Linked DNA regions of Rattus norvegicus. The protein of the gene in region 6 purifies or fractionates together with the protein of the main gene of each other region. This does not show direct contact. Links are inferred from orthologs where the notes say so. Each region holds a gene or a part of one and is shown on either strand. Other genes may lie near its edges. The genes, in order: Vps13a, Akap11, Rassf3, Tacc1, Lsg1, Vapa and Vps13c.

Region 1 (3,954 bases), on a different chromosome or scaffold from region 6:
TGTACATATAAATAAAATGAAAATCATCTTTTAGTGAGATACCAATAGATAGTTGAAAATTCTCATTTTTAAGAACTAAAATGAATTTTTTCTTTGAAAAGGTAGATTAAATGTATGAATGCCTGGTAATCTCTCTTAATTATTAAAGAGTCACTACTAGGGATATTCTTGAGGTATACAGTGGTTGCTTAGCATATGCGAGGCCTTGGACTCTAATTCTAAACCCCACAAAATTTTTTTTTCGAGAGAAAAAAGGAACCACAGTAAATATTTTTTACCTTAGAATTTATAAAATTATTTTCATGGATATTTCAGATAAAATTAATTATGAAAGAGGCTGGAAATACAGGTCAGTCATGGGATATATGTATGTGTAGCACTAATCTTAATACCAGTGCTGCAGAAACAGAAAAATTACATGGTTATCTCCAGTAATACTTAATTAAAATTATTTCACTTCATATTTATTAGAAAATAATCTAATAGTCTATATTATAAAAGTGAGGGTGAAAATTTAAAAGCTTCTATTTTTAAATGAAATAGAATTATGTCCTAACAGAATCGTAACTGATTATGACAACACTGCATGTTTTTAAATTGTGGTTAGGATTATAGGCATTTTGTAGAGGACTTCATCTGTGCTATCTAAGAGGTTCAGGGCTCTCAAACACTGAAATCAAGCGGAGGGCAGGAAAGTTCATTACAGTACCACAGACACACTGCATCTTAAATCATAGTCATTGGTAGTAGATTGGCAAGTTTTCAGGTGTCAGTCATAGGTAATAGATGAATGCAGGACTTGCTGCTTGGTACAGGAGAGGCAGCAATGAACGGTGTGCTTTTGAAAGGGTTATAGGGTTTATAGAAAGACTCTGGCAACCAGGGTTCAATTCCCAGGACCCATGTGGTGGAAAAAGAAAGAACTGACTCCTATAAGTTCTCTTCTGACTGAAATATGTGTACATATGTGTAAATAAATGAATGTTAAAAGGAGGTTCTGTTGTACTTAAATGTGAAGGTGAAATTTGGTCTCCAAAGGTAAGCCAAATGAAGAAAGGATGGAAGGAGTATGTATACACAGCTACTGACACGTAGATGATACAGAAGAACTAGCACACTCACAAGGCATGGTGGCGAGAGATAGCACTTTAAAATTATTTTACATAATAGAATGTTTTATTTCAAAAACTAAAAATTCTCATTTTAGGTTCACTATTTTAATGAAATGTTCGGTGTTTGGGAACCTTTACTGGAACCCTTAGAAATTGATCAGAGTGATGATTTTAGACCTTGGAATCTTGGCATCAAGGTATGTATATGTATGTTATTTTCTTAAAGGAGTTTCAGGTTTGCTACAGAATTGTCAAGTATAGTTCCTGAATATATCCTCTTCATATATTTAGCCTTATTAACAGGCTCAATCAAATTATATTTGTAGTCTGAGAAAGAGCTTAAAAGGAAAAGCTTTCCAGAGCTTTTGAGGATATCCATACTACATTACACAGTTTATTTTATTTATTTGCTTATTTACTGATTCATTTGTTATTTGTTTGTGGGTGGTTGATTCGTATGAATATATGTTTGTACAACATACGCCTTCCTAGTGTCCACAAAGGCCAGAAGGGATCAGAACCTCTGGAACTGGAGTCAGACCATTGTGAGCTGTGAGTCACACTTGGGTCCTCTGCAAGAAAGCAAGTATTTAACCACTGAGCCATCTCTTAAGCCCCATATAAGACCAGAGATGAAACAGGTTTCCTTAAAGTGAAAGAATGTTGACTATTGCCCTACACTATAGCTATGGTCAATCCCAAATTTTCTTTGTTCTGTGAGTGGACTAATTCATTCCTTCCTTCCTTCCTTCCTTCCTTCTTCCCTCCCTCCCTCCCTCCCTCCCTCCCTCCCTCCCTCCCTCCCTCCCTCCCTTCCTTCCTCCCTCCCTCCCTCCCTCCCTCTCTCCTCCTTCCCTCTCCTTTTTTCTTTCCTTCCTACTTTGTACCTCCCTCCTTCATCCCTACCTTTCCCTAATTTTCTCCCCCTCTACTATTTCTTCCTCTCTATACCCCATTGAACATAGTATGTCATGTGTTTTAATAAATTGTGAATTTATTTAATCCTAAGAATCTGTGCCTTTAAATAGGTGAAGTTGTGCTTGTAAAGCAAGAAATTATCTAATTATAACAATGCTTCCTACCTATTGATGGACTCTACTTGTAGACACATCTTTAGGACCTTAAAGTAATGTAAAATATCCCTGAGCTCAAGGCCAGCATTGTCTACAGACGAGTTCTAGGATAGGTAGGACTACACAGAGAAGCTCTGTCTTGAATAACCAAGAGAAAACAAAAAGTAAGGTATAATAACAACTGAATATCTTAGCATGCCTACCATATCATATTTAAATGATTTCATTTAATTCTTTAGGTTATGTCAGATGATTTTGTTAAACTAATTTCATTGGTAGTTTTTAAATTAGACTGTATATGGGCCACATTTTTTGAAAGAAGTAGATAGTGCATAATCTTACAAATTCCCCAATACCACGTTGCTTTGCTACTTGTGTGTGACTGTGTCAGTCCCTAGTTCTGTTTCCGTTACCAATACCCTAAACTGTCTCCGTGACTGTTGTGAAGTGTATGCTCTTGATTTACCTGAAGATTCCATATATTCTTAGTTACTTTCAAAGTTTTTCTTTCTTCTAAATTATCAAATTTATTGTATAGAATTTATTTTCCTTTAGTATTTCCTCCTGTCAGCTTTGTGACACTACTTGGTAAGTCCAGGAAATTTCATCAGGCAGTGTAACCCATGGGTCCATAACTCTCTCTCTAATGATATTTGTTGTTATTTTACAGATAAGTTATGTTATACTCCAAAGACAATTCTTTTATTTCTAATTTTACTTTATCCTTTAGATGAAAAAGAAAGCAAAAGAGGCCATTGTTGAGTCTGATAGTGAAGAAGAGAACTACAAAGTACCAGAATATAAGACTGCCATAAGTTTTTTTTCCAGAGACCAATTAAACATTACACTGTCCAAATGTGGCCTTGTGATGTTAAGTAATTTAGTTGAGGTAAGAAAATACAAGTATTTGAAACTTTAGGTATTGAAACAATGAGTGAAGTTGTTATTTATCTAGTTACTATTCTCATGAACTTGTCCCCTGTGTCATTTATTCCCCAATTTCCCTGTTAGGCATTCACTGAAGCTGCTACTGGATCTTCAGCTGTCTTCCTCAGAGATCTAGCACCATTTATGATTTTAAATTCTCTTGGACTTACTGTCTCTGTTTCACCAAGTGATTCTTTTCACGTACTTAATGTTCCTTTGGCAAAATCATATGAACTGAAAAACGAAGAAAGTTTAAGTATGGATTATGTCCGAACTAAGGACAATGATCATTTCAATGCAATGACCAGCCTAAGCAGCAAGCTCTTCTTCATTCTCCTTAGTAAGTGAGATCTTTCCTTCTTGGGGCTTTGTAAAGTTATTTTCACTTTTGTAAAGCAATTTTACTTATTTGTAGTACCTTAGTAGTTTTTTTTTATAACAATATGTTTTCTAATACATTGGAAACTATATTAATTACCTTTCTGTTAGTGAGATAAAACAGTATGCCTGATGCAAGTGACAGCAGGAGGACTGTTTGACCTTATGGTTCCAGAATGTGAGAGTCTCTGAGGGCAGAGTAGAGGCAGCAGGCATGGAGATTGCAATAACAAGGGAGCATTCACATGGTGAACTGCAAAGAACAGAATGACAGTGGATCACTTCCTCCAGAAGGCCACACCTCCTAGTATTTCTTAAACAGCACTGCCTGGTAGGAACCATTTATTCAAATGCCAGAACCATGAGAAAACAATTTCATTCAAACCACCAAAGGGACATTATAGTCCTCTCCAGTATGTTGATTTCTTTGGTCATTAAATCTTGGTATTTCTTTTTTTTTTTTT
Region 2 (3,954 bases), on a different chromosome or scaffold from region 6:
CTCCTTCTACCACAAAAGAACTGCTTTTAACTTAACTTATATTTTTCCAGTATTAAAACTTATAATGGTCACAGCTCTAATTAAGAACATGAGCCATTTGTTTTCCCTATACGCACTGCATTTTAAATGCAGACATTGATAAGTGATTTGTTTTTCCAAAGAAGAAAGCAAATGTAACAGCTCATCGCCCTTTACGTCCAGCAAACAAAGCAAGTGTTTAAACTGAACCACATGATGCAGAAGACCAGGCACAGCTCGAACCACTAGACCTCACAAAGGACAGTATTTCATAGCTGGAGTGAGTTCTCCCAATTGTAAACCTACTCATACAATTGTAGATATCTTACTTCCTAAAATGAAAAGCCTTTTTCTTTGGTACATTATCAAAAATATTTAGTGATGAACTAAATAAAGGCTGTCTTATGAAAGCAACATTTTGCATGGAAGATTGTTCATTAGAAAGTTAACAAGAAGTCCGTTCAGTTTGCACCACATATAAATGTGTGTAAGACGGGCATAAAGCAGGAGCAGTCCCTCCAGTTGTACAAAGAAATCCGAACAGGAATATTTCACTAAAAATTAGTTATGTGCTTGCACACCACTGACGGAACTTTGCTGGCAGGAATTTAGTTTATACGCAATGATCAAAATAATTTTATACTTCAAGGCTGGCAATGCTTTGTGAGTTAGACTTTCATCAATACCATTTCCTTGAGACTAAAACAAGGAAAGCTTCAATCACTTACTATTACTAAGCAAATATAGTAAAAATCTGCCCCCAAAAAGCAGATTAGAAATGATCCTCTAGTTACCTGATTTAGAGGACTACTGCTTACATCAGAAGATTTATTGGTATCCTTCATACAAATGATTTCATTTTCACTTAGACTGCAGAAATGGAGCGAATTCAGAAGATCTGGAAGTTCTAGTGAAACTGCAGCTAGATCCTAATTTTAAATGACAGTAACAGTAACGATCAACACCACAGAGTAACAGTCAAGGTTTCCACAAACTGTCCATAGCCAAAGCCCATGAAGTGTACTGGTCAATAAGCTGCCTGCTTTGTAAGGGCTGCACACTTTAACAGTGTGCCTGCAGTCATTTTCTAACTCACACAAGGCCAAGGTTACTCAGTGATGCTTTAGAGCCTTTCCAGCATGTGGCTACTGAGCTACCCCATCAACCTTAACAGGCCACCTCCCACAGCTAAGGAGATCAGCGTTTAAATGATTTTAGCAGTTGTCACCCTAACATCCTTTGGTCTGATTCTGGAGTTTTTCATATAGAAGTCTTAGCCACTAAAACCCTTCAGGGATAAAGTTTTATCTCTTTAAACTGTAAGTCCACTTTCCCGAAGGTATTGTAGAAAGCCTTCAAAGAGTTTATGCAGGTTAAAGGAGAGCTACCTTTCTTTTCTCTTAACTTTCCTCTTTTTTTTTTTTTTAATTATTTTTTCCAGCTCAAGGTTCTCTCCAGTCTTTGCCCCACAGAGAGTAGAGGCTTCATACAGGTGGTCCTGTCTACAGCTCCTGAGGGCCACCAGAGGTGTGCTGTTTGTTTTGTTTCTGAAACAGTGTCACTCTGTAGATGGTGCTGGCTCAGAACTATGCAGCCGAAGCCGGACTCTCACAGTGACACTCCTGCATCAGCCTTGAGAGTCCAGTTATATATCTACATGCTGTTCTGGAGAGTGTGCCCTCCCTGTTGCTGTTAAACCAGTTCTTCCTTCTGCTATGAAAATCGAGACAGAAGCTGCAGATGACCTCACCAGGGAGGACTAACACAACCTGCCAGCTGTCTAGCAGCAGCACAGGGGAACTCTGCAGTGATTTGTGTAATGTCAGCCATCCCTTCACGGCTGCTAACCTCAACTACCAGTCCCCTATAAACGCCTACATGAAATGTGCACAAACTTATAAATGTGCAAACATTGACACCTTTTACAAATCTGACCTTTTATACTTAATTCTACTTCACTAAAAATACAGAACTTTACTACTAAATCAAATTATGAAAACTGTCAAAATATACAAATGTTACATGCAATATAATAAACAGAATCGAGAAAATGGCCTGTGGTTTAAAGATTCAGAAAAATGATTTCAATAGTGAAATTTAAATCTTCTTTCCTTAGCAAGAGTTATCAACGAAAGCTAGTCACGGTAGCACACGGTTGTTATCCCTGCACTTGGGAGGTGGAGGCAGCAGGCTTTCTACAAGTTTAAGGCCACAGCAAAGATATCTGACAAGACCTTGTCTCATAAATAACAAAAAAGGAATCCTTAGTAAAAATGCTGAAATTGAAGATGTAAAGATCACACTCAAATGTTATCTTTGTTTCTGGGGGTTCGGGATAGGGAAAGAGACTATGTAGCCCTGGTTGGCCTGGAACACACTGTACAGACCAGCCACTGGTCCTGAACAAAAGTTCAGCCTGCCTTTGCCTCCTGAGTGCTGGAACTAAAGGCATGCACCATTATGCCTGGCTGACTGTAAAATTTGAGCTCTACAGTAAAATTTTCAGTCTCCAAAATTTAAGTAGTCTCCCACTGTCTTTGCCAATTCAATAAATTGACCCTACCTTCATATGAGCAGCATCTGTTTCTTCATTAAAGCCCAGAAATGTGATCTGAATTAAAAAAAAAAAACCCCTCCATTAGTTTACTGTTTTTAAGTCCTGGGTCAGGATGTTGACAAGGCACAGTATAAGCATGGTACTATGGTACTAAACACGGGGCAGGCAGTGTTTCCAATGACCAAGATTGTAGCTTCACCATTCACCTTTCCCTCTCCCTCCTGATCCTCATCGTCACTGCCATGTGTTCTTACTTTCACCATCACTGGACTTGTCCACTGCCATGCCTCTTGTCCATGCTTCCCAGAGTTGTTAATGGAAGCCTTCAGCCTGCCCTCATTTCATTCAAACCCATGAGACTCCTTTCTACATCTAGCACATGCCCTGTACGTGACTCCTTAAGGTCCTTGCAGTGGTGTCCCCTTGATATGAATGTTTTCCTCGGACCATTCTAGGCCTGGCCCCTCTTCATTCTACAAGTTCCTATGAGTTCCAGCAGCCTTCTTAGAGACCTTCCCTGTGTAGATTCCCCAGGTTCCCTCCTCACTAGACAGCAACACTTCATACGCTCACATACTTAAAATGAACCAGTACACTGGGAAGGAAAAAACCTTAGATATTTGAGATATGCATACCCTAAAATGGAACAGAAATCTCTCCTATCCTTTCAAGTTTCCTTGCTGAACACAAAAGGGAGACTACGATAACCGCGGGCCCTGAAGGTACCAAGGGAGCCTGCTCCTTCTGGTGATATGGAAGATCTCGTGGAACAGGCTGGAAGAGCAGCTTGACAACAACCAAGGATACAGGCTACAAAACTGAGGGCAGGCAGGAGGCAGAGTAAGAGTGCTCTGCCCTACAGAGAGAAAAGTAAAGGGAGGTGCGCAGAAATCCAGTGAGGAGATCCAGGTGGCAGGATGCGACTCATTTAACAGGCATGCTCCTCTTTCTAGAGAAGGAAGCTTTTCCCATAAAGAATTCCTCAAGGAACAGAAACCTGTGAAGACCCAATACTAAACTTGAGGCTTTGCACATGCTAGGCAAGTGATCTACTCTTAAGCTATACTCTCAGCCCTCAATATTATATTCCAATTTGTAATATGAATGTGATGATGGAATACAGATGCTTTTTAAAAAATCACTTTTTAGCAACAACAAATTCAAACAAAGATTAAAAACAATTGCTATTGCAGAGAAATAGGTAAGCAAGGTATGTAAAACTCACCCCCCCACACACACACATTTCCAAGTGCGAGTATCTTAATTCTGAAGATAAACTTACCACTTTATACTTTAAATCAAAGCACCGAGACAGTCAAGAAAAAGATTTAAAAAGTGTCTACATGAAATAAGTGTATTTTTTCCTTTCAAGAGAAAAG
Region 3 (3,954 bases), on a different chromosome or scaffold from region 6:
TCTGGCAAGTTAACTCGCTTGCTAGGACTCAGTTCTGCATGGACACTGGGTAATTTCGCCAGCTTTGTGCGTGGTTACGTGATCCAGTGTGGTGCCTGGCATCCTTGGCTCTCCAGATGCTACAGTTGGGATTGTGGGTACATGGATTCATCTGTCCTAGTTAGGTTTCCATTGCTGGGATAAGACGATGGCCAAAAGCAACTTGGGGAGGAAAGGGGTTTACATTTTCTTAGAGTTTGTAGTGCATCATCCAGAGAAGTCAGTGCATCAGAGCTCAAGGCAGGACTGATGGTGGAGGCCATTGAGGTCTGCTTACTTACTGGCTTGCTGTACTGTCTGGTCCTGTGTGTCAACTTGACCCAAGCTGGTGTTATCACAGAGAATGGAGCCTCCCTTGAGGAAATGCCTCCATGAGATCCAGCTGTAAGGCATTTTCTCAATTAGTGATCAAAGATGGGCGGGTCCGTTTTGGGCGGTGCCATCCCTGGGCTGGTGGTCTTGGGTTCTATAAGAAAGCAGGCTGAGCAAGCCAGGGGAAGCAAGCCAGTAGGTAACATCCCTCCATGGCCTCTACATCAGCTCCTGCTTCCTGCCCTGTGTGAGTTCCAGTCCTGACTTCCTTTGGTGATGAACAGCAATGGGGAAGTGTAAGCTGAATAAATCCTTTCCTCCCCAACTTGCTTCTTGGTCATGATGATTGTGCAGGAATAAAAACCCTGACTAAGACAGACACCTGGCTTGCTTTTGTAAAGTGCCCAGGACCACCAGTCCATGTGTGACTCCACCCACAGTATGCTAGATCCTCCCACATCAATCACCCAATCAAGAAAATGCGCCACAGGCTGACCCACAGTTGAGGGCAGTGGGGGGCATTTTCTCATTTGAAGTTCCTTCTTCCCTACCTCCTTCTACCCTGTGTCAAGTTGACATAAGATCAGGCAGGACAAATATGCATTGATTGGGATCTTCGAGGATTTTTTTTTTTTTTTTTCCGGAGCTGGGGATAGAACCCAGGGCCTTGCGCTTGCTAGGCAAGTGCTCTACCGCTGAGCTAAATCCCCAACCCCGATTGGGATCTTTAGATAATAAATTATTAGTGATTTCTAAAGGATCAGGAAAGAACTTAACCAGTAAGCATTTCCCCTTTTGCGTTATGGGGAAAGAAAGGCCGAAGAAAATAGGGTATGGGGACAAGTAGACAGCATGGTGGGGTAGAGAGAACCTGGTCACATGTTATTTAGAAGGTAAATATACCCTCTGGTAGTGGTGCACAGTCTGACAGGTCGGTTACTATTGCCAGTTACTTAGTATTCGTTCCCTACTTTCTGCTAGTGCGTACTGTAAAGCTGTAGAGACCATGGCATTAATAAAATGTACCTAGGAGAAGCTTTCGGTGTGCCAGGCATAGTGGCTCACAACTTTAATCTCAGCAGCACTCAGGAAGCAGAGGCAGGCAGGTTTCTGTTAGTAGTTCTAGGCCAGCCTGGTTTATATAGTAAGTTCCAGGCCAGCCAGGGCCGCGCAATGAGGCCCTGTCTCAGAAGTAAACATGAAGGTAAACGAATACCCCTTAGAGGTCGAAGTGCCCCGCAGCCTAGCAGATGTTCTGCAGAACTTTACTTTTACAGAAGGAATCTGGCAAAGGCAGATTTGCGGACTAATATTTATTGAAGTGCTGTTTCCAGTTGCTGGTGGATTGACTTCATTCCGCTACCCCTAGGAAGACGGGTGTGAAGAATGAGGCGTGCTTGGCAGATGAACCTGGTGTGCTGGCTGATAGACTAGAGTTGCCTGTGTCTCGGGGAGAAATGCGTCTGCTGCTCTTTTGTGAAACACAGATGAAACCTGGTTTATCTGCACCTTCCCCCCAGTGTGGTTCTTCATGCATGATCACGGACGGTTTTTCTTCTAGGATGTGGAGAAGGAGAAGGAAACACACAATTACCTCAGCAAAGAGGAAATCAAAGAGAAAGTGCATAAGTACAATTTAGCCGTCACAGATAAGCTGAAGATGACCTTAGTAAGTACTCCTTCCTGGTTCACCTGGCTCTCACTGACAGACGGCTGGGGGCAGGGAGCTGGCTAGGGACGGGGTATGAGCATGTGCGGATATCTGTCTGTCTGTCTGTCTGTGTAAAAGTACAAGCTGGCAGGGCTGGTAGGTTTGATCCCTGAGACTCGTGAAAAAAAGGCCAGATGGAGCGGTGCACATCTGTAATGCCAACACTCCTACAGAGAAATGGAGAATTGAGCTTTCAGGACCATTCTCCTGGAATACCCAAGAGCTGCAGTAGCAGCAGCCGCAGCAAGAACACAGTGAGGGACCCCGCCTTGACCAGGTGGGAGTGTCTGACCCACTGGGCACAAGGGTGTAGCAACAGTGCCATCTGCTGTGTCCCCTTGCCGCTGGGAATAAAGCTAGTCTATTTTCCTAGTGTCAACACAATGCTGACTTGGGTGTCTCAGAGCCCTCGCTGTGACCTTCCTCTCTGTGGAAGGTTGGTGTTGAGCACAGAGCTGAGACACGCTCCAGGCTTCAGGGCAGCTCTGGTCTGGCAGGCGCGGACCACGCAGGACAGTGTCTTCCTCAATGGGTGCTGATCCATCACAGGAAGCTTTGGAAGCACAAACCTCAGGGCTAGCGCTCCAGGACATCCTGGAGCATCCTCCACAGCATCCACCCTGCAGATCTTGTATTAATCCCCCACTGAGGGAGCCCCTCTCTGCTCTCTTTGGTGAAATCGTTTTCGAGACAAAACTGGGTAAAAGCTGTTCGCCTTCCCATGGGGCTTAGATCTGCTCCTTTCCCAGCCTGCCGACCGCCCACTCAGTATGCCTTTCTTTACTCTCCAGAATTCAAACGGGATTTACACTGGCTTCATTAAGGTGCAGATGGAACTCTGCAAACCTGCCCAGACCCCTGCCAACCCCAGCAGCAGTGGCTGCATGAACACGCTTCATATCAGCAGCACAAACACCGTGGGAGACGTGATCGACGCGCTGCTCAAGAAGTTTCAGGTGACCGAGAGTCCCACCAAGTTTGCGCTTTATAAGCGTTGTCACAGGGAAGACCAAGGTACGTGGCCACGCTTCAAATGAAAGCGGTCCCTCTGTTCCTGTCTTTCTTACTCATTAGCAGAAGGAAGGGCAGCCGAGAGGTGCCTCGTCAGAGGCCAGGGACAGAGTGTGGGAGCCACACTCTGATGTCAGACATTTATGATTGCGTTAGGCCTGAGGGGCTTTGAGGCATCTGTGTGCAGCGGGCATGCGTGGAGGATTTGTTGCTGGTATTGCCGCACAGAGGGACAGGTTTGGTGAGAGCATGTTAGCGATGAATTTAATGCCCTTTAACGCACCAAGGAACACTTAGGTGGTTGAAGTTTTCAGTGATGATTTACATTTGAAGCTCATGTACACGTGCTAAGGCTGGAGAGGCCAAGAGGCACACGTACAACTCACATGCAAAAACCAAGCAATGTTGACCCCAGGTCTGCTTGAGCCTACACGAATGCCCAGTGAATAGAGCGCACATTAGGTTACTTCAGGAAGCGGGATGGGATCTCCCGGGCAGCAGTTGGAATGGAAGTTGGTGTCTATAGTCCCTGCAGTAAGTAGCAGTAAGCCACTTAAGTTTTCTCTGGGAAAAGCCTTAAAGCAGCCATCGAAGAAAATGTACTGACTTTGACATGATAGGAATGTCCCTTAGCTACACAGGGTGACGCACAGCTTTTCCCAAGTGTGTACATTTGTTAAAGAAAGGCTCTTTGGAACAGAAAAATAGGCAAGTCAGAAGCCACGGGCTCAGCAGCCTAGCGAGGAGGGGCAGCTGCCAGGAAACTACAGTGCAATTGCATCTGAAGTGCTAAGGGACACAGGGAAGACCTGACGACATTTTTAGCTTGCCAGCAACTTGGCCAGCACAGGTGGACATCAGCCACACAATCTAAAATGGCA
Region 4 (4,754 bases), on a different chromosome or scaffold from region 6:
GGCTAGGAATGGAATTTAGGGCCCAGAGGCCTGCGAAGGAGCTGCTCCCTCTGAGGTACATCCCCAGTGTGAATTTGTGTTTTTACCATCTCTTAGGTGTTCTTGGGCATACAAATTTTATATTTGGAACTCTGCTGATGGTGACTAGGGAAGCAGGATTAACCAGACGGAGAAAGCCCTGAGGGACAGACAGCCCTGAGGGGCAGACAGACACTAAGTCTAACCAGTTAGGGAGTGCAGGAACTATGCAAGGATGGGGGAGGAGGGAAAAGAGGAGAGGGTAGCACTCTCGAAGAGGAAGAATGATCAAGACCAGGTATCGACTTACATGTGTACTATTTTTAAGCTACAGATACACGTGTCAAATCCAGGAATCTAAGGGATTTCTAGTCTGAAGATTTACTTGATCATAAACCCAAGACGGCGACAGCTGGGTAGTGTTGGCATATTTGGTGTAGACCTAAAACAAAATGTCTTCTGCTCACATTGTAAAAAAAGTCGGGGTTGGGGATTTAGCTCAGTGGTAGAGCGCTTGCCTTGTGGGTCCCCAGCTCTGAAAAAAAGAAAAAAAAGTCTTTCGACACTCTTTGACAGTCAATGTGTATCTCAGGCAAGAAGCAGTAGTGGATTCTAAAGCATCCTCCTGCTATTATTATTATTATTATTATTATTATTATTATTACTATGGTAGGATACCTGCCAAGCCTTATCTTACATGTTTGCTCATCTTTGTTATGGAGTGTATAAGACATTTGCGATTTGTCTGCAGTCCACGTAGTGCCAACTCCTTTCAGGGGAGATCAGCAGCGTCCTGCAAATTTTAGCCTGACCTTGTCCTGAATTTTGGAGGCACACACACTCTCTGTGGGAACTGTAGCCACATCATAAATTTCTCCGAGACTCTGAGAAATGTCAGTCCTACGGGAAACACTCGGATGAACTAATAGTCTCAGACTTGGCTTTGGAGAAAATGGATTCACTGGGAGAGAGGGCCTGGGGCAGTCTCTTAGTGGAATTCCTCAAAGATAAAGGGAAAAATTCTTCTTTTCAAAGATAAACGCCTTAACTCAGAAGACTGCTGTCACCAGACCTGCTGGTTCTGTACTGAAGACCTCTGTACTGCAAACCAAGGACCCAAGAATTATCAGAAAAAAAAAAAAAAGCTTAAAGTTATGAAAAGAAAGGACAACGGGAAATCGCTCAGGCTGTCTTGTCAGGGGGCAATTTTGCATCTATCCCAGGTCATGCCTCTCTGGAGGCCTCCATGAGTGTGGTTTGGTACCAGCAAGCATCTTCAATTCTTGTCTTGCCCGGGAGCTTTCCAAATCCTGGGAGTAACAAGGATGGAGATGACCAGTGTCAAGGAGCGGGTACAACACTCTTCAGAGAGTCCGAGTGTTTTTTTTTTTTTGTTTGTTTGTTTGTTTTTTTAATTAAATAGGGGTCTTAACTCCGGTGCGGTGCAGTGTCAGTCACGCCATTAAGTCCTAGCGGCAGGAAGCTCAGATAAAAGGGGAAGAGGAACGGCGCCGCGGCGCGCACACGCTCGGAAATGGATGTCGGCAACGCGCTGCGCGCTGCAGGCGCGGGTCCCGCCGGGAGGGCGAGCGCGGTCGAGCAGCCCCTGCCCAAGGCCGGGCGCGACCAGCGCGGCAGGGGGAGCGCGCTTCCAAGCGGCCGCCCCCGCGCGCCGCGCCAGTAGTTCGGTCCGAGGGGGCGGCTCCAGGGGCGCGGCTCCGCAGCGGCCGAGGCTGCTCCAGGCGGGAGCGGACCCCAGAGCCTGTCGTCTCAGAGCAGGACTGGGGGACAGGCAGGCGGGCGGGCGCGCGCGGGGGCGAGCTTCGGCGCGGCGGCCCCGAGGAGCGGGGGCGAGCGGCGCTGCGGGGCCGTGGGAGGAAGCGCTGCGCCCGGCCCGACGGCGCTCGTTGAGCCACATCCGCGGGTCGCCGGCGACGTTGCCGGCGCCTGTCAAGGCCCCTCCATTTTGAAGGAAGAGGCCGCCGTTTCCCCACCGCAGGGGCGGTAGCCGCGCTCATGGCGTTCAGTCCCTGGCAGATCCTGTCGCCCGTGCAGTGGGCCAAGTGGACGTGGTCCGCGGTGCGCGGTTCGGGCGCGGGAGAGGACGAAGCTGGAGGTCCCGAAGGCGACCCCGAGGAGGAAGAGGACTCGCAAGCCGAGACCAAATCCCTGAGTTTCAGGCAAGTACACCGCATCCCAGCCGAGATGCAGCCGCGCGCCATCCTCCCACCGCGGTCATGCTGTGTGCGCGCAACCGTGCTCCGGGCTCTGCTGCGTCCTGCCCGCAGCCGGGTCCCCGCTGTGTACCCGAAAGTTCGGGATGTTCTGTCTGCCCGTGTGCTTTTCGTCCCCTGTCTTCGCTGTGAGCTTTCTGTACCCAGCCCCGAATCCGCAGTCTCCGCATCCTGGTTTGCCTGGGTCGCTTTCTCTAAGCGTCGACACCCCGGTTCCGACGCAGCCACACCGGTTAGTGTCAGTTGATAAGGCCAAGTGGGATTTGGAGCTTTTACCCTTGTGGGCAAGAAATCGCTCCTCCGCCCTCCTTGGCCCCGCAGTGTCCTAAAATGCAGCGTTGGTAAAAGAGGATCGCGTGATGACAGGCCCCTGGCAGCTGGTGAGAAATGGTGGTCTCTGCTGAGCTGTCACACGTGTGATTGTGGAAGGCAGGTGACGGCATTTTCAGCCTCCAGTGACTTTGAGACAGGTAGAGGCCTACCAAGGGAAAACAGCATAGCTAGAACTGGCTTAGTTTGGGGGTGGGGCGATATTTTACGCCCCTGGAAAAGGGTATGGTGAGGAAAGGAGTTGATTGGGAAGTTTTTTTTCCTTTTCTTTTCTTTTCTGGTTATAAAAGGCAGAGATGACCTTAAAAAAACAAGTGGTCGTGGTGAGAAGCTCCAGAGGACGAAAGAGATTTCGGGGAACTAGGATGCTGGGCATCGCTGAAAATGATGCAGCCGTTCTCAGGCTGGGTTGAGGATTGGTTGGTTGTAAAGTTAGAGGCGCTGTACTTGCACTTTTGTGGCTGAGTACATTTTAAAGGCAGTTGGAAATACCGTTGACTGTGGTAATGCCTCGTTTTTCCCCCCTGGCAGCTCGGATTCTGAAGGTAATTTTGAGACTCCTGAAGCTGAAACTCCAATCAGATCGTCTCTCAAGGAGTCTTGTGATTCATCACTAGGATTGTCAGAACCCGAGGCCAAACCCCAAGGTAACAAAACTTGAATTTTCTACCTCTTCGGTTTTAACTTAAGGAAAGGGGGAAAAAAGGACACAAAAAAAGGGGTGTTATGTGTGTGCAGTGAGGACCACTTCAGACAGGATGGACTGGGTCCTTGCTCCAGAAGAGGTTGCCCTAAAGTTCTTGCTGATTTGGAAGGCATTTTGCTTTTTGTTTTTGTAAAATAAACCTTTTGATCGTTTGATGATCCAAAGCTTGCTTTATTCTCTGACTAGAGATCGTGCTTTTGGAGTATGAGATTAATCATATTTTCAACCACTCCTGTTAAGACTTCCTTCTAGACCCTGAATAAGTAAAAATGTAGCAGCGACTGGGCTGGTTATGTTTTAGATTTGGCCTCAAAGATTTCAGAGACTACTTTTCTACAAGGGTGTGGCTAGACACAAAATTATAGGTAAGAGTTGATTTTTGAGTTAGGAATCTTAGGCAGTTTCAAAATTGCTTGCCTTTCTCCCGCAGAGGACCAGTGGGGAGCCCTTCAGTCTAACCAAGAAAATCCGTCACACATACTGTCCTTCCCTACCCCCACCCCTACCCCTCAGTCCAAACTAGTACCTGCCCTTTAGTTCTCAATGCCTCTGGCCCACTACATTAATGGAAATCTTTTTTTTTTTTTTTTTCTCTAAAGGCAGGATTTCAGATAGCCCAGGCTGGCCTTGGAGGGAAGCTATCTTAGTCAGGGTTCCGTTGCTGGGAAGAGACACATGACAAAGGCAACTCTTTTAAGGACATTTAATTGGGGCTGGCTTACAGGCTCAGAGGTTCAGTCCATTATCATCAAGGCAGAGGACATGGCATGGTAGCTTCCAGGCAGGCATGGCACTGGCGGAGCTGAGAGGGCTGGGTTTTCATCTGAAGGCTGCTAGGAAAAGACCAGCCCCCAAGTAACTAGTAGGAAGGTCTCAGATCCCACCCCAACAGTGACACACTCCCTCCAACAAGGCCACACCTCCTAATAGTGCCATTCCCTGAGCCAAACATAAAAAACCACTACAGAATGGAACCTTTACGGGTTAAAAGCAAAATACCTGTCTGGTTCTATTAAGTACTGTAGAGAAGGATGGGCGGGGGTAGGAGGAGGTATGGGCCTGTGGGCCTGACTGGTAAAGGCTGGAAGTTAGAGGAGCTGACTTGAACAGAGTCCTAGAAGGGGAGAAGTGAGGAGACAAAACGTGTGTGTATTATTGGGAGGAGAATCCTTTCAGCAAAGGGAACAGTGCTTGCAAAGAAGCATCCTGTAAGTGGTGAGGCCCTGGGGTGTGGTTCTGGAGGAGCAGGCAGAGGCCAGTGTGCCCAAGAGGGATAACTAGGCTGCGGGTAGAAATGGGAGCTGATGTCAGCAAGGGGAGAGGAAGGGCCACGTGATGCCATGATGACGATCTGATTTTCTGAGCGAGCTGGAGAGCATCTGAACAAAACGCCATAACCGAGTGGCTCAGAACAAGGGGTCCATTCTTACTCACAGTTCGGGGGTGGGAAATCTGAAGTGTGGGCA
Region 5 (4,440 bases), on a different chromosome or scaffold from region 6:
AGAGACAGACAGACAGACAGACAGACAGACACATCATAATCACAACTTATGAATCAGTCTGTTAAGCTTATTCCTAGGAAATTTCTGTACACATTAAAGCTAGAAAAGTACCAGACTAGGTGCCTTCCTGATGTTTTTCTTAATTGTTTTAACTGACAAGTAAAAATTGTGTGTATATATGTGTGTGTATTTGTGCATACATATGTATATATGTGTATACATATATGTGCATGTGCATATATATATTTATGTGCCACCTAGTTATATTTTAGCGTTATACATAGATTAATCAAACAAGTTAGCAACAATGACTTCTAAAATACATGTTGACCGAGTCCTCTCAATAATACGGAAGAGTAACAAGACTCATGTTCCATTCCCGACATTGCCTATCTTTGATCTATAGCTGGTCGATTCCTGACACTGCCTATCTTAGATTTATAGCCAGTCGATTCCTGACATTGCCTATCTTTGACCTATAGCCGGTCAATTCCAGACACTGCCTATCTTTGACCTATAGCCGGTCAATTCCAGACACTGCCTATCTTTGATCTATAGCCGGTAAAAACTCCTTCCACGGCTGAGCAGCATGTTACAGTGGTCTCCCCAGTAATGAGAATGTTATTCAGCACCAACTACTATACACTTATTTCTTTTTTAGACAGGGTCTCACTGTGTAGCCCTGACTGTCCTGGAGCTCTCTTTGTGAAGATTCCGTGTCCCAAGTGCTAGGATTAAAGATGTGTGTCACCATGCCAGACTTTTTATATACACATTACGAGGAAAGCTGACGATCGGTTGGGGCACTAAATATCTATTAGTGAAGACAGCTCACTAAAGACAGCTTTAATTTTAATTATAAAAAATGTTGATACAATGCTTAATATCTCTCTCTCTCTCTCTCTCTCTCTCTCTCTCTCTCTCTCTCTCTCTCTCTCTCTCTCTCTCTTCCCTCGCTCTCTTCCTCCCTCTCTACCTCCCTCCCTTCCCCTAAAAGCGCCGGCTTTTGTTCTCAACTTTCAAGTTCTGAAAATGATACCCATTCTAAACTCTCAACCATGTGTGAACTTTTCTCCCCGCTCCGCAACTACAGAATGCTAGGAAAACAAAAACTGAGCTGAAAAACCAGCATCAGGAAACTTCTGCCACCTAGAGCCACAGAAACACCCCTTCACCCGAGGGCCCTCCTCCCGTCGAAAGTGCTGCGAACGTGAGCGGTCATATTTTCCAGTTGGCCCAATTTCCCGCCGGACTTTAAACAGTGACGTACAAGTCTGGAATGTACCATTCTCTTAAGTCGGTCAATCTATCAAAAGGGGAACAGTCGAAGGAGTAGCCATAAGGAATCCTCCCGATCGATTTTTACATTTCTTCTCTATAGTACTGTTAAACTCTGGCTCTACCAAAATCATCCTGAAGCAAGTCATTCAATACCCTGCAGCTTCACTTCGGAACTGTACTACTTAGACTCGCTCTTACGTCACTTCCTGGTTCACAGCCAGGGAAACCGGAAGCCTCACGCGCTGAGAAGTGGTTCGTGCTGCTGATACGCTGTTATGGGCCGGAGAAGAGCGCCGGGTGGTGGGTCACTGGGTCGGGTACTTATCCGGCATCAGACTCAACGAAGCCGCAGTCACCGTCATACTGACTCCTGGGTAAGAACGTCCGTGCTCTCCATATTCTTCCCGTCTCGTTCTGAGAGCCTCCATGCTACAAAAGTTGTAGCTAGAAGTCACGCCTGAACAGGAATTCGAAGCAGACACCGACAAGGCGCAGGGCGCAGAGAGGCTTTAAAACAGAGCTAGTGTGTAATAAAGTAGGAGTGAAAACATGAAGAGCCTTTCATGTTAGAATGTTTCCCTGTGTTTGGCTTTTGCCCTAGATGCCATGGACGCTCTTGGAAATTTCTATAAAGAAAATTACGTGTTATCGTAAAATTTTGAAACAGAGTGTCCGTATGCAGCGAAGAGTGGCCCAGAACTGCCTTCCTCCTGCCTGTGCCTGGAGAGTCCTGGATTTACAAGCCGTGGCTACCACGCTTGGATCTTTAAACTGAGATTTTTAGTTATCCAGAGAATCGATCCAATGGAAGTGATTGGTTCCATCAGAAGAACAAATAAATCCGATCCCTGCTTTCCCTTGTTTTGCCCCCTTGGAGTTTATCTTAAGGAATTGACATTGTCTCTAGAAGCTTAGGAAAGATCGTAGTAGGAGCCTTAAGAAGTAAATGAAATAGAGAAATTAATTCTAGCAGAGTATTTGAGGGCATTCTGAGTCCTCACTAAGGTCTTGTACTGAAGTTGTTTGTCCCTGGTACATGTCCATCACACCGTCCCATTTCCAAACAGATACTGTGAGGAATACACGCATGCTTCTCAGTGTTCAAGTCTGGACATTGATGACTAATCCTCTCACCTGGTTTTGTGGTGACCTATCAATGTACTAACCTTTGGGAAATAGTGGAGAGGTTTAATTTTAATCTAAAGAAATCCCCTAGGAAGCGCAAGGCCCTGGGTTCGGTCCCCAGCTCCGAAAAAAAGAACCAAAAAAAAAAGAAATCCTAACTTGTATCCTGATTTTTGTTAATTCTAAGCTTTCAATCCTTAATTTCGTTTTTAAAAAACTATGTTTGACCCATATAAGCATATAACTTAGGGTGGTGTATATCAAACTCTGGGTTTACAACTATAGGCAAATTATTTTACCTATTTAAACCTGTTTTCTTGATGGTAAAATGAGAACACAATAAAATTCGTTTCAAAAGAGTCAGAAAATAAAATTATAGGATAAAAGGGAAATGCTCTTGCTGAGATAAGAAAGTGTTCATTTAAATATTTGATCTTGGGTTTTTGTACTGCCGGATATCAACACCATTGACAGCAACAGGCAAGTATTTTGCTGAGCTGGGCCCCCCTCTTAGCTAGCGTTAGGTATTGGTAGTATACATTTAGAAGAGTCAACCACCTTGAGAACATAGACCAGTAAAAGCAAAGGTAGAGCCTGTGGATGCCAGGCGCAGGAGAGAGCTGCCTCACTCTTTGCTCTGTTTTATTCGTAGCTGCATACGAGTGAACTCAATGATGGTTATGATTGGGGACGTCTGAATCTTCAGTCAGTGACGGAACAGAGCTCCCTCGAGGACTTTCTTGCAACTGCAGAACTTGCAGGGACGGAGTTCGTGGCTGGTGAGTTGTTTATTACCTGGTGCCTGTGACACTGGCCACACCGCCATCTTGCTCACTTCAAATGAATCCAAAAAGCAGTATGGGGCGGTCCCATGGGTGTAAGGTAAAGTCAACACTGGTTTTTAAATTCACCTCTAAAGAACACTTCAGATGTCAGGCATGGTGGTGCATGCCTTTAATCCCAGCACTCTGGAAGCAGAAGCAGATGGATGGATCCTCTGTGAGTTCCAGACCAGCCAAGGTTACATTACATAGTGAGACCCCGGCTCAAACACAGAACAAATACCACTTCAGATTGTAATTCACCATTGAGTTCAAAACATCCTTGCTGCTGTCTGGAACCTTGTGTTGTAAGTGCGTGCACTCAGTCACTGACAGATACTATTATGTATTTCTCTTACTATTACAGATGTTGTGCTCCTTAGAAAGTCATTCGTTTATTTGTTCCAAATGCCTTTATTTAGAATCAGTTACTCTCATTCATTGTGCTGGCTACTCAGAGAATGTTAAGAGATACATTTTATTCATTTTTAAAAATATTCTTTTATATGTTTTGAAAGAAGTCTAAGAAACAGCAGGCTCCTAGTAGTTTCTGACAAGATTGGGTGATGAGCAGGAGACAACTGTTCAGATTGGTGCACACCTATGATCCCAGCACCTGGGCAGCACTTGCCCTAAGTTTGAGGCAAGCCTGGGCTACAAATAATAAATCCCCAGCCTGGGCTACATAACAAAACCCTATCTCCAAACAAAAGACACAGGCAGGCAGAGGCATCCAGACAGGATGTGAAATGGCAATCTACTTTGTTGAGAAAATTGTCACAAGTTTGGTTGTGCTGGTGCAGGGGACAGGTGTTAATGAGCACAGACACTGAGGGGGTGGGCAAGGGCCATATTCCCAGGAGGAAGAAAGGGAAGGCTAGGTATGGTGACCCATGCCTTTTACCACAGAGTGCAGAAGGCAGAGGTAAGTGAATGTCAGGGAGTTTGAGACTAGCCTGATCTATATAGTGAGGACTTGTCTTTTAAGGGGTTGGGGATAAAGGGTTCTTTATAGGTTTTTAGGCAATTAATGACAGACATAGTTTCAGATTTCATTTTCTGGTAGGTTTTGTTTGAGGGGAGCTTTTGTTTTGATTTGGGGGTTTGGGAGGGGATAGTCATGCTACCCACCTCCTAGCTTTATGAAGTTATGGTACACGATATGTCTTAATATACATACACAGTGTATGGGAGGTGACTTTCAAGCTGACTG
Region 6 (3,954 bases):
AGTGCTAAGAGCCAACTTGAAAGGTCTAATAAGGGGTTGGGGATTTAGCTCAGTGGTAGAGCGCTTGCCTAGGAAGCACAAGGCCCTGGGTTCAGTCCCCAGCTCCGAAAAAAAGAACAAAAAAAAAAAAAAAAAAAAAAAAAGAAAGAAAGAAAGAAAGGAAGGTCTAATAAACCAATCTAAGAAGAAGAATGTAGGGACTAAGCCTGACTGGTGGTAATCCCAGTTAGGAGACAGAGGCAATGCAGATCTCAATTTGAGGCCAGCCTGATCTACAGAGTGAGTTCCAAGTCACCAGGGTTATACAGAGAAACTCTGTCTTAAAAAACAAAAGTAGTAGTAATAGTAATAATAACTACTACTATTATTATTAATATCCCCAAATCACTTTTACAGTAATGTCAATCAAGATAAATTTATCTTTGGTTGTTAAATACAAAAAGCAATGGAAGCTATTATCTTTGGAGCCAGCACAGATAAACAGGGAAACTAACATATAAAGTCTAAACACTGTACTTCTTACTCTGGCAATTATGGTTCTGATTCACTTTAAAAAGATGTGTTGAAGGGGTTGGGGATTTAGCTCAGTGGTAGAGCACTTGCCTAGCAAGCGCAAGGCCCTGGGTTCGGTCCCCAGCTCCGGAAAAAAAAAAAAAAAAAAAAAAAAAAGATGTGTTGAAAACTTAAGTCATTTACTGGTCAATACCTAACTAACGTTTATGAGCATTTTTATTTCAGCTTTCTTATCAAGAAATATAGTTTACTCTGAATAGAGCAAACAAGTTACCAGATCAAAGCAAGAGTCATACCAGACTATAACCAAATTATACCAATTACATTTACCCACAGTATTTTATACATTTCAATCCACACAAAAACTTTGTTCTATAGTCCCTCCTACAAACCACAGAAAAAATGAAAAATCCTTGGGTTTGGAGAGATGGCTACTCTTCTTCCACAAGGCCTGGGGTTCCATTGCCAGCACCCACCCATGGCAATTCAAAAGCATTGAAACCTATGCCCTCTCTGGTCTCTGAGGGCACCACACAAGCACAGATATACATAAAGGCAAAGCAACCATACACATAAAATAAAATACTTTTAAAAATTTTTTAATTTATATTATATAGAGCATAGGCCACTGGTCTGCTACAAAAACATATCTATCCTTCAGCCCCCCCAAATATGTAGTTGCTTAATGCTAATCAATAAGCAATTATTCACTAAAAAATAAAATTGATTTTGATCAGAAGACAAAAATATGCAAAGTGTTTGGCAAAGGCTAAACTGGGGGGAAGATGACTTATCCCTGTAAATTATATATTTTAGTCCAAGAATATTGATGATTACCCAAAAAGAAGCCCTGATTTTATAGCTGTATCTGCATATGCATGTCTTATTCTTTAAGAAAAAGGATAAAGACATGATTTCAGAATTTGAGAGCATTCTCAGAAATTCTTTCCACACTGAAATTTGGACCTACCGTGTAATATTTACTTCTTCTTGGGCAAACAAAATATCATAAATTGGAAATAGCATTATCAAGCTTTTTACGTCTCATAAAATGACCAGGCACTACAAGCCCAGTGTCAGAGGCTGATGACCGACCAAGGTTTCTTTCTTACTCACCAGCTTATCGTTTTCATTCGGCATCTCAAATACACATCTCAGTTTAGAATCCATTAGTTCGTCAGGTTTTGCCTCTTTCCACTAAAAGGAAAAAGAAACAAAACAAAAATCCAAAGATGAGAAAAGAGAGCATGTGGCACTCAGGTCTCACCAGAGGGGACAACTGAAGCCTGGGAACGGTGGCTTAGACAACGGCCCCGTCAGGAAGCGAAAGCTCGGCTGCTGCTGGCTGGAGTTGACTGCAGGTCGCCTACAATCATGTACCAGTGTCTCTGCCATCACCATCAATTAAAGCCACACTGACACTGGGCCCAGGAAGGCAAGGGTACTGCTGCCACCCTGGTGGCCTGAGTCCATCCTAGGAGCCACACTGTGTGGTAGACAGACTGGGAGGCCAGCCTGACCCAGCTGACCTCTGACCCACAGAATGCAATGGAAGGCAACACACACGAGTCTTCTTCACCTTAGTGTTTCTAAATGGTTCCCAAGGAACAGTATTTCAGGCTTGGTGGGCCATGCATGCCTTCCAGCTCTGTGATGGAAGACGCAGAGGCAAGAGGATCTCTCTTAAGTTCAAAGTCAGCCTTGGTCTACAAAGTTCCAGAACAGGCAGAATCATGTCTTCCTTTTTTTTTTTTGGGGGGGCGGGGGGGTGTCAAAAAACTAAAAGGCTTTTTAATTGTTTAAATTTTAATTTTGTTCTGATAATTAATTTTTGGCAAGGAAGTCAGGATTGTTGAGAGTTAAACAAAACAAATTTAAACCACAGCTCCAAAAATACAACTTCTACACTTACCACAGCTTCCATATCTGAAATGTTTGGTGGAGCAAAAATTGTCTGTACCATGAACTTATGTTTACTCTTTTCGTTCGGATCATAGTCAAAGGGCTGCAGCATTACTAAACAAAGAGAGAGGGCACATGATCACCACCACAGCAACACACAAGCGTAATAGCAAGATGGGGTCAAACTCAAACGTAGTAGTCTCAAGATGCACAAGCCACGTTATAACTTTCAATTATTAGTAAATTCATTTTCTGCTGATTCTAATTTGGATAACTGAAACACTTTTAATATAACCCATTTTTAAACTGGATTTTAAACAATTACTTAGAATGTGTTCATTTGTTTAAATCTAATTTTAAGAAAACAAAGAAAGTCATTAACTCCTTGACAATTAGACCGAACCCAGGGCCTTACGCCTCCTAGGTAAGCGCTCTACCACTGAGCTAAATCCCCAGCCCCAGGCATACATTTTTTTAAGCAAAGGCCTCAAAACACTTCTGTGGATGTACAGAACATGATTCAATCACAAAACAGTGCCATTTCAAAGATGAGTAAGAATACAGACTACGGTGGAAAGACAGTTATGGAAACAGAGACTAGATGATGCTTCAGACTGACAGTAACTAATCACACCCACACACAAGCTCAGAGTAGGAAAGTTTCAGTAAAATTTTATATGGCAGATACCCAAGGAAAACCTTTAGACAAAAACTGAAGCCAAACAATAAACAGATAAAAATGTCAATATTCAAAACTGCATTAGTGTAGGACATAACTGCTACCTGAGACAGTCACGATTGACCCTGGGTCAATAACCCCACTGTTGGGCCGCACGCAGTACCGGCGGGGCGCTGTGGTCTTCACTTTGAAACACACTTTTCTGTCCGATGGATTCTGCAATTTAAGATTTGTAGTGACTACATCTGTGAAGGGGCCTGTAAGGTAAGGGGCAGAGGAAAAGAAAATTAACTGGATTCACAAAAGCATTATTTTGGTGATTTCATCCACAAAGTAACTATGATTTTAGGTTTTTAATTTTGGTTACATTTATTTATTGTTGCTTGTGTGTTGCACGTATGAACACGTGTCATGGTTATCTACACGGAGATCAGAAGAAACTTTTTAGAACCAGTGTTCTCCTTTCATTATGTGGGGTCCAGAAACCAAACTCCATCCCTCAGGCTTGGCAACAAGCATCTCCATCCAATGAGCCATCCTGTCAGCCAAAACTGTCCTCATGTTCCTACCACATCACATGACTGACAGTCCCCAGTGGTCGTCACCAGTGCTGATCTTTGAGCTCACAAGGCCATACAAAACCAAACCCTGACAGTACTCACTGCCTCAATTCATTCAATCCATTCACTCACGTGTGTTTTAAGTACGATGTTCTATGCTCTATCTAAATGCAAAGTCTTGTCTTAAAGCCTTACTTTTGTACTCAATAAAACGACAAAAATAGAATTCAAAAAGCCAACCCAGCTCTACTTAACCAGGATATCCTTGCTGTTTGTAAATGGGCTGTGAGACGTGAAGAT
Region 7 (3,465 bases), on a different chromosome or scaffold from region 6:
TGTATGCATCCATTGGTGTAGTGCTTATGAAATAAGTTGACATTTAAGCATCCAATGAAAGATTATGGTATTTTTTTTCTTCTAAAGAATAATTCCTTTTTTTTTTTTTGTCATTATTTCTTTTAAAAACAGGAGCAGGGTCTTTTCCATAAAAAAGACAGTGCCAATGTAGGTTATCTTCGGAAAATTTACCTGAAGGATCCCATCACAGCCAAGGTAAACTGTTTTAACGCCTCTCCCTCATGCCCCAAGGTTTTTAACCAGAAGACCTTTACAAGCCGGTAACAGCTAGTCTGGCATTACCCTCACTCATTCTCTAATGCTTCAGGGTAGTTGGCGCATACCTCATGTGTGGGTGGTAGCCTGGTCCTTGTCCTCCTGCATGGAGACTGGCATCTCTGCCTTCCCTCGGGTGAGCCAGAGGTCACCTTTCAGTTGATAACCCTGCTTTGCCTTCCAGAGAGCCTTTGAAGCCATCGAGAGCGCGCAGTCAGCCAGGCAGCAGCAGAGGCTGATGAGGCAGTCGTCAGTGAAGCAGTGAAGCTCCTCAGGCCCCAGCTTCCATCTTGACCACGGATCTTACAAGGCTTCTGAGGGAGACAACCGCTTCAGAAGTCCTGCTAAAGAGAACCTTTCCAGCCAGTCTGGGCTGGCTTTTTTTTTTTTTTTTTTTTTTGACTCAATTTTGAGTCTTGGTTTTGCAATCCTGCATGTATTAGGAATTTACTGCTACATGTGTAGGTCAGACCTCAAAGAAATACCACTTTGCCTCAGAGAGACTTGTTCATTAATATTAAAATTGTAAAGCAAAGAGCGGTGGGCTTGTTTTTAATTAGTCTTTTCTGAAGAAAGGAGATTTTTAAAACGAGTAGTGTCCTCTGAAAGGTTTTAGCCAGATAAATAGTGGACACTCTGACATTTGCTTAAAGGTAATTTGTACAATAATTGAACTAAGAGAGCACTTTCGGTAAACCCGGCGATTGACTGAAGAAATGCACCTACAGGAGAGACGGCTCATTTTCTATGTTCTTTTTATGCAAATGTTATTTTTATCCTAATAGGATGAGTTTTACATGGTGCTTTTTCTTTCTCCTTTCCATCTAATCTCAGAACAGGGGCAGTCTGGCGCCGGCTGTCTACAGTGAGGCACCCAGTGTGTGTCTGTCAGAGTGGGTGCTTTCAGGATGAACTCATGAGCACAATTAGAGATTTCTGAGGAATGAAAACTGAGAAATTGCACTGTAAGCTCCTCGGCATTCAGGAATATATAAAATGCAACTTTTTTTTTTAATATTTCCAGAGATTTATTTTAGAGTATAAAAGACTGCAAAGGGTGTCATAAATTAACATTTAATTCTAATGCATACCTGTAAATGTCTTTTAAATACCTGTTAGGAAGAGTGAAAACTCTCTACTTTATTATAGGATTTTTAAAGGTCTGTACAGAGTTGAGATCAGGTGTTCTCTGCGTCCATCCAGCAGCTCTGAGGCCTGTTAGGTCAGGGCTGCCTGTTGGCAGGTTAGGCAGGGGGCCAGGGGCTGCCTGTTACTCTAAGGGATTTTATTTCCTTGGGGGGCCTTTAGCTTTGTTCAGGGAGTTGAACATTTAGTTAAAGCGCACAGTCAGCTATGAGATGAGGAACGTGTGGATGTCCTTGTCTTGCTCTGCCTTAGTCGATTCAGGTCCTCCTTCCACACTCAATGCCAGTCACGCTTTTAGGACTGCAGGAAGACTTCTTAGCTCCCCACTGCTGCTTCACGTTTCTCTGAGGGAGAGTGAGAAATCTGTCTGGGGGTTGGGGATTTAGCTCAGTGGTAGAGCAGCGCTTGCCTAGCAAGCGCAAGGCCCTGAATTCCGTCCCCAGCTCCGGAAAAAAAAAAAAAAAAGAAAAACGAGAAATCTGATTTTTAGTAGCTGTTACATTTTTAATTCCTTTCCTTTCCTTTCCTTTCCTTTCCTTTCCTTTCCTTTCCTTTCCTTTCCTTTCCTTTCCTTTCTTTTCCTCACCATGCCCCCCCAACTCCAGTTTCCTTCCTTCTTTCCTTCCTTCCTTCCTTCCTCCTTCCTTCCTTCCTTCCTTCCTTCCTTCCTTCCTTCCTTCCTTCTTTCCTTCCTTCCTTTTAATAGGGTTTCACAATGTAGAGCAGGCTGGCCTTGAACTCACAAAGATCTGCCTACCTCTGCCTCCCAAGTGTTGGGATCAAAGACATGCACCACTGTGCCTAGCTTAATACCTTTATTCCTGTTAAGAAAATAATTACATATAAAACTGATAGCTTTAAACCTAATTGAACTTTAGAGCTAGAAGGCAGTGAAAAGCCTTCTAGCAAACACAGTAGCTATGTCTTTAAAACTGAGTCAATCAGGAATTTGAATATCTGACTACATTTTTCATGTTAATCACAGCTGTCAATGGGATCGTAAATATTTAAGGCATTATATTGCACTGATGGTTTATTCCAGAAACAAGTGTACAGAACATTAGACTAAGAGCAGTCAAGTCTATAAACTTGTTATCTAAGTTGACAATCTTCTGTGGCGTTTTTATTTGATTCAGTGTTCTGGTATAGGAGTTACCCATTGGTTGGATGTAATTAGGTGTGTGGTCTTTTTTACAAATGCATTCAGAGACAGTGACTTGCTTATAACCTGAGAAAAATAAAACATTGTTACATTGTTTATATGTGTGGGATCTGTGTTTGCGTTAAATACTGAAGTCACATTCTCTTTTATTTCAATTTTCCTCTTTCTCCTTCTGCTCTCAGGATAGTCAGAAGATAGGTGAAACACTGCAGGGGGTTTTACAAGGAGCTGGTGAGGGAAAGCCTATTCCTGGGCTCTGAGACCCCCACCCCCACCTCCCTACTGGAGCTGTGTGGCCCAGCTGCAGCATTGCACTGAGCTCCTGCTTGTCACTGGGGAGAGCAACAAGGATGCTAAGGTTTTGGAGATCTGGAGTGCTTCTCCCAATGCTTCTCTTGAAACCCCCTTAGTCTCCCACTGGGCACCCATAGTACCAGTCTGAAGGCCCGTCAGGCACCGCGTCCTCAGGTGGGAAGAGGAGACTCACATGCGGCCTGTAGCAAGGCAGATATATCAAAATCCAAAGTGAGCAACACACGGGAAGAACACCCTTAGGCTTTCTAAGAACCTGATCTGGGATAGACTTCTTACCTGAGACTCCCAGGATGGTGGTGTTCTAGTTTAAATTATGTTTGAGAGACTACTAATATCTTCGTGATACTGTGGGACTTTAAGTTCACTGATCTCTGGACATCTGGTGTTTCGTTTTATTGTTTTGTTGCTAACAAAGCTCCATGTATGCTTCTGAGGCACAGCCAGAACTAAAAGGTAATGAGCTGACAGACTCAAAGTTTGCCAGATATCAGTACCAGTCAGGCATTGCAGTTACTGCCTGAGCTACAAGAACTGTCTTCATCTTGGAGAGAAAGATCTTTTAAAAA

The links.
Region 1: the proteins of Vapa (region 6) and Vps13a purify together in Homo sapiens (co-immunoprecipitation; 3 studies listed by BioGRID and IntAct, counting the BioPlex papers as one, with this or other methods). This does not show direct contact. The link is inferred for Rattus norvegicus from reciprocal best matches to the Homo sapiens genes VAPA and VPS13A.
Region 2: the proteins of Vapa (region 6) and Akap11 purify together in Homo sapiens (co-immunoprecipitation; 3 studies listed by BioGRID and IntAct, counting the BioPlex papers as one, with this or other methods). This does not show direct contact. The link is inferred for Rattus norvegicus from reciprocal best matches to the Homo sapiens genes VAPA and AKAP11.
Region 3: the proteins of Vapa (region 6) and Rassf3 purify together in Homo sapiens (co-immunoprecipitation; 3 studies listed by BioGRID and IntAct, with this or other methods). This does not show direct contact. The link is inferred for Rattus norvegicus from reciprocal best matches to the Homo sapiens genes VAPA and RASSF3.
Region 4: the proteins of Vapa (region 6) and Tacc1 purify together in Homo sapiens (co-immunoprecipitation; 4 studies listed by BioGRID and IntAct, counting the BioPlex papers as one, with this or other methods). This does not show direct contact. The link is inferred for Rattus norvegicus from reciprocal best matches to the Homo sapiens genes VAPA and TACC1.
Region 5: the proteins of Vapa (region 6) and Lsg1 purify together in Homo sapiens (co-immunoprecipitation; 4 studies listed by BioGRID and IntAct, counting the BioPlex papers as one, with this or other methods). This does not show direct contact. The link is inferred for Rattus norvegicus from reciprocal best matches to the Homo sapiens genes VAPA and LSG1.
Region 7: the proteins of Vapa (region 6) and Vps13c purify together in Homo sapiens (co-immunoprecipitation; 3 studies listed by BioGRID and IntAct, counting the BioPlex papers as one, with this or other methods). This does not show direct contact. The link is inferred for Rattus norvegicus from reciprocal best matches to the Homo sapiens genes VAPA and VPS13C.

The regions. Positions count from the first base shown.
Region 1 is NC_086019.1:223,405,166-223,409,119, reverse strand, and holds part of Vps13a (intermembrane lipid transfer protein VPS13A), read left to right. Parts: intron 1-1,207; coding exon 1,208-1,309; intron 1,310-2,915; coding exon 2,916-3,074; intron 3,075-3,196; coding exon 3,197-3,452; intron 3,453-3,954. UniProt on the Homo sapiens protein: Mediates the transfer of lipids between membranes at organelle contact sites. Binds phospholipids. Required for the formation or stabilization of ER-mitochondria contact sites which enable transfer of lipids between the ER and mitochondria.
Region 2 is NC_086033.1:60,344,444-60,348,397, forward strand, and holds part of Akap11 (A-kinase anchor protein 11), read right to left. Parts: intron 2,630-3,954; coding exon 2,582-2,629; intron 948-2,581; coding exon 813-947; intron 1-812. UniProt on the Homo sapiens protein: Binds to type II regulatory subunits of protein kinase A and anchors/targets them.
Region 3 is NC_086025.1:58,826,864-58,830,817, reverse strand, and holds part of Rassf3 (ras association domain-containing protein 3), read left to right. Parts: intron 1-1,912; coding exon 1,913-2,020; intron 2,021-2,853; coding exon 2,854-3,076; intron 3,077-3,954.
Region 4 is NC_086034.1:73,545,913-73,550,666, forward strand, and holds the start of Tacc1 (transforming acidic coiled-coil-containing protein 1), read left to right. Parts: upstream 1-1,791; 5' UTR 1,792-2,034; coding exon 2,035-2,198; intron 2,199-3,113; coding exon 3,114-3,229; intron 3,230-4,754. UniProt on the Homo sapiens protein: Involved in transcription regulation induced by nuclear receptors, including in T3 thyroid hormone and all-trans retinoic acid pathways. Might promote the nuclear localization of the receptors.
Region 5 is NC_086029.1:83,647,269-83,651,708, forward strand, and holds the start of Lsg1 (large subunit GTPase 1 homolog), read left to right. Parts: upstream 1-1,541; 5' UTR 1,542-1,556; coding exon 1,557-1,655; intron 1,656-3,058; coding exon 3,059-3,185; intron 3,186-4,440. UniProt on the Homo sapiens protein: Functions as a GTPase. May act by mediating the release of NMD3 from the 60S ribosomal subunit after export into the cytoplasm during the 60S ribosomal subunit maturation.
Region 6 is NC_086027.1:112,634,097-112,638,050, forward strand, and holds part of Vapa (vesicle-associated membrane protein-associated protein A), read right to left. Parts: intron 3,352-3,954; coding exon 3,199-3,351; intron 2,530-3,198; coding exon 2,426-2,529; intron 1,711-2,425; coding exon 1,630-1,710; intron 1-1,629. UniProt on the Homo sapiens protein: Endoplasmic reticulum (ER)-anchored protein that mediates the formation of contact sites between the ER and endosomes via interaction with FFAT motif-containing proteins such as STARD3 or WDR44.
Region 7 is NC_086026.1:77,530,330-77,533,794, forward strand, and holds the end of Vps13c (intermembrane lipid transfer protein VPS13C), read left to right. Parts: intron 1-132; coding exon 133-216; intron 217-460; coding exon 461-541; 3' UTR 542-2,680; downstream 2,681-3,465. UniProt on the Homo sapiens protein: Mediates the transfer of lipids between membranes at organelle contact sites. Necessary for proper mitochondrial function and maintenance of mitochondrial transmembrane potential.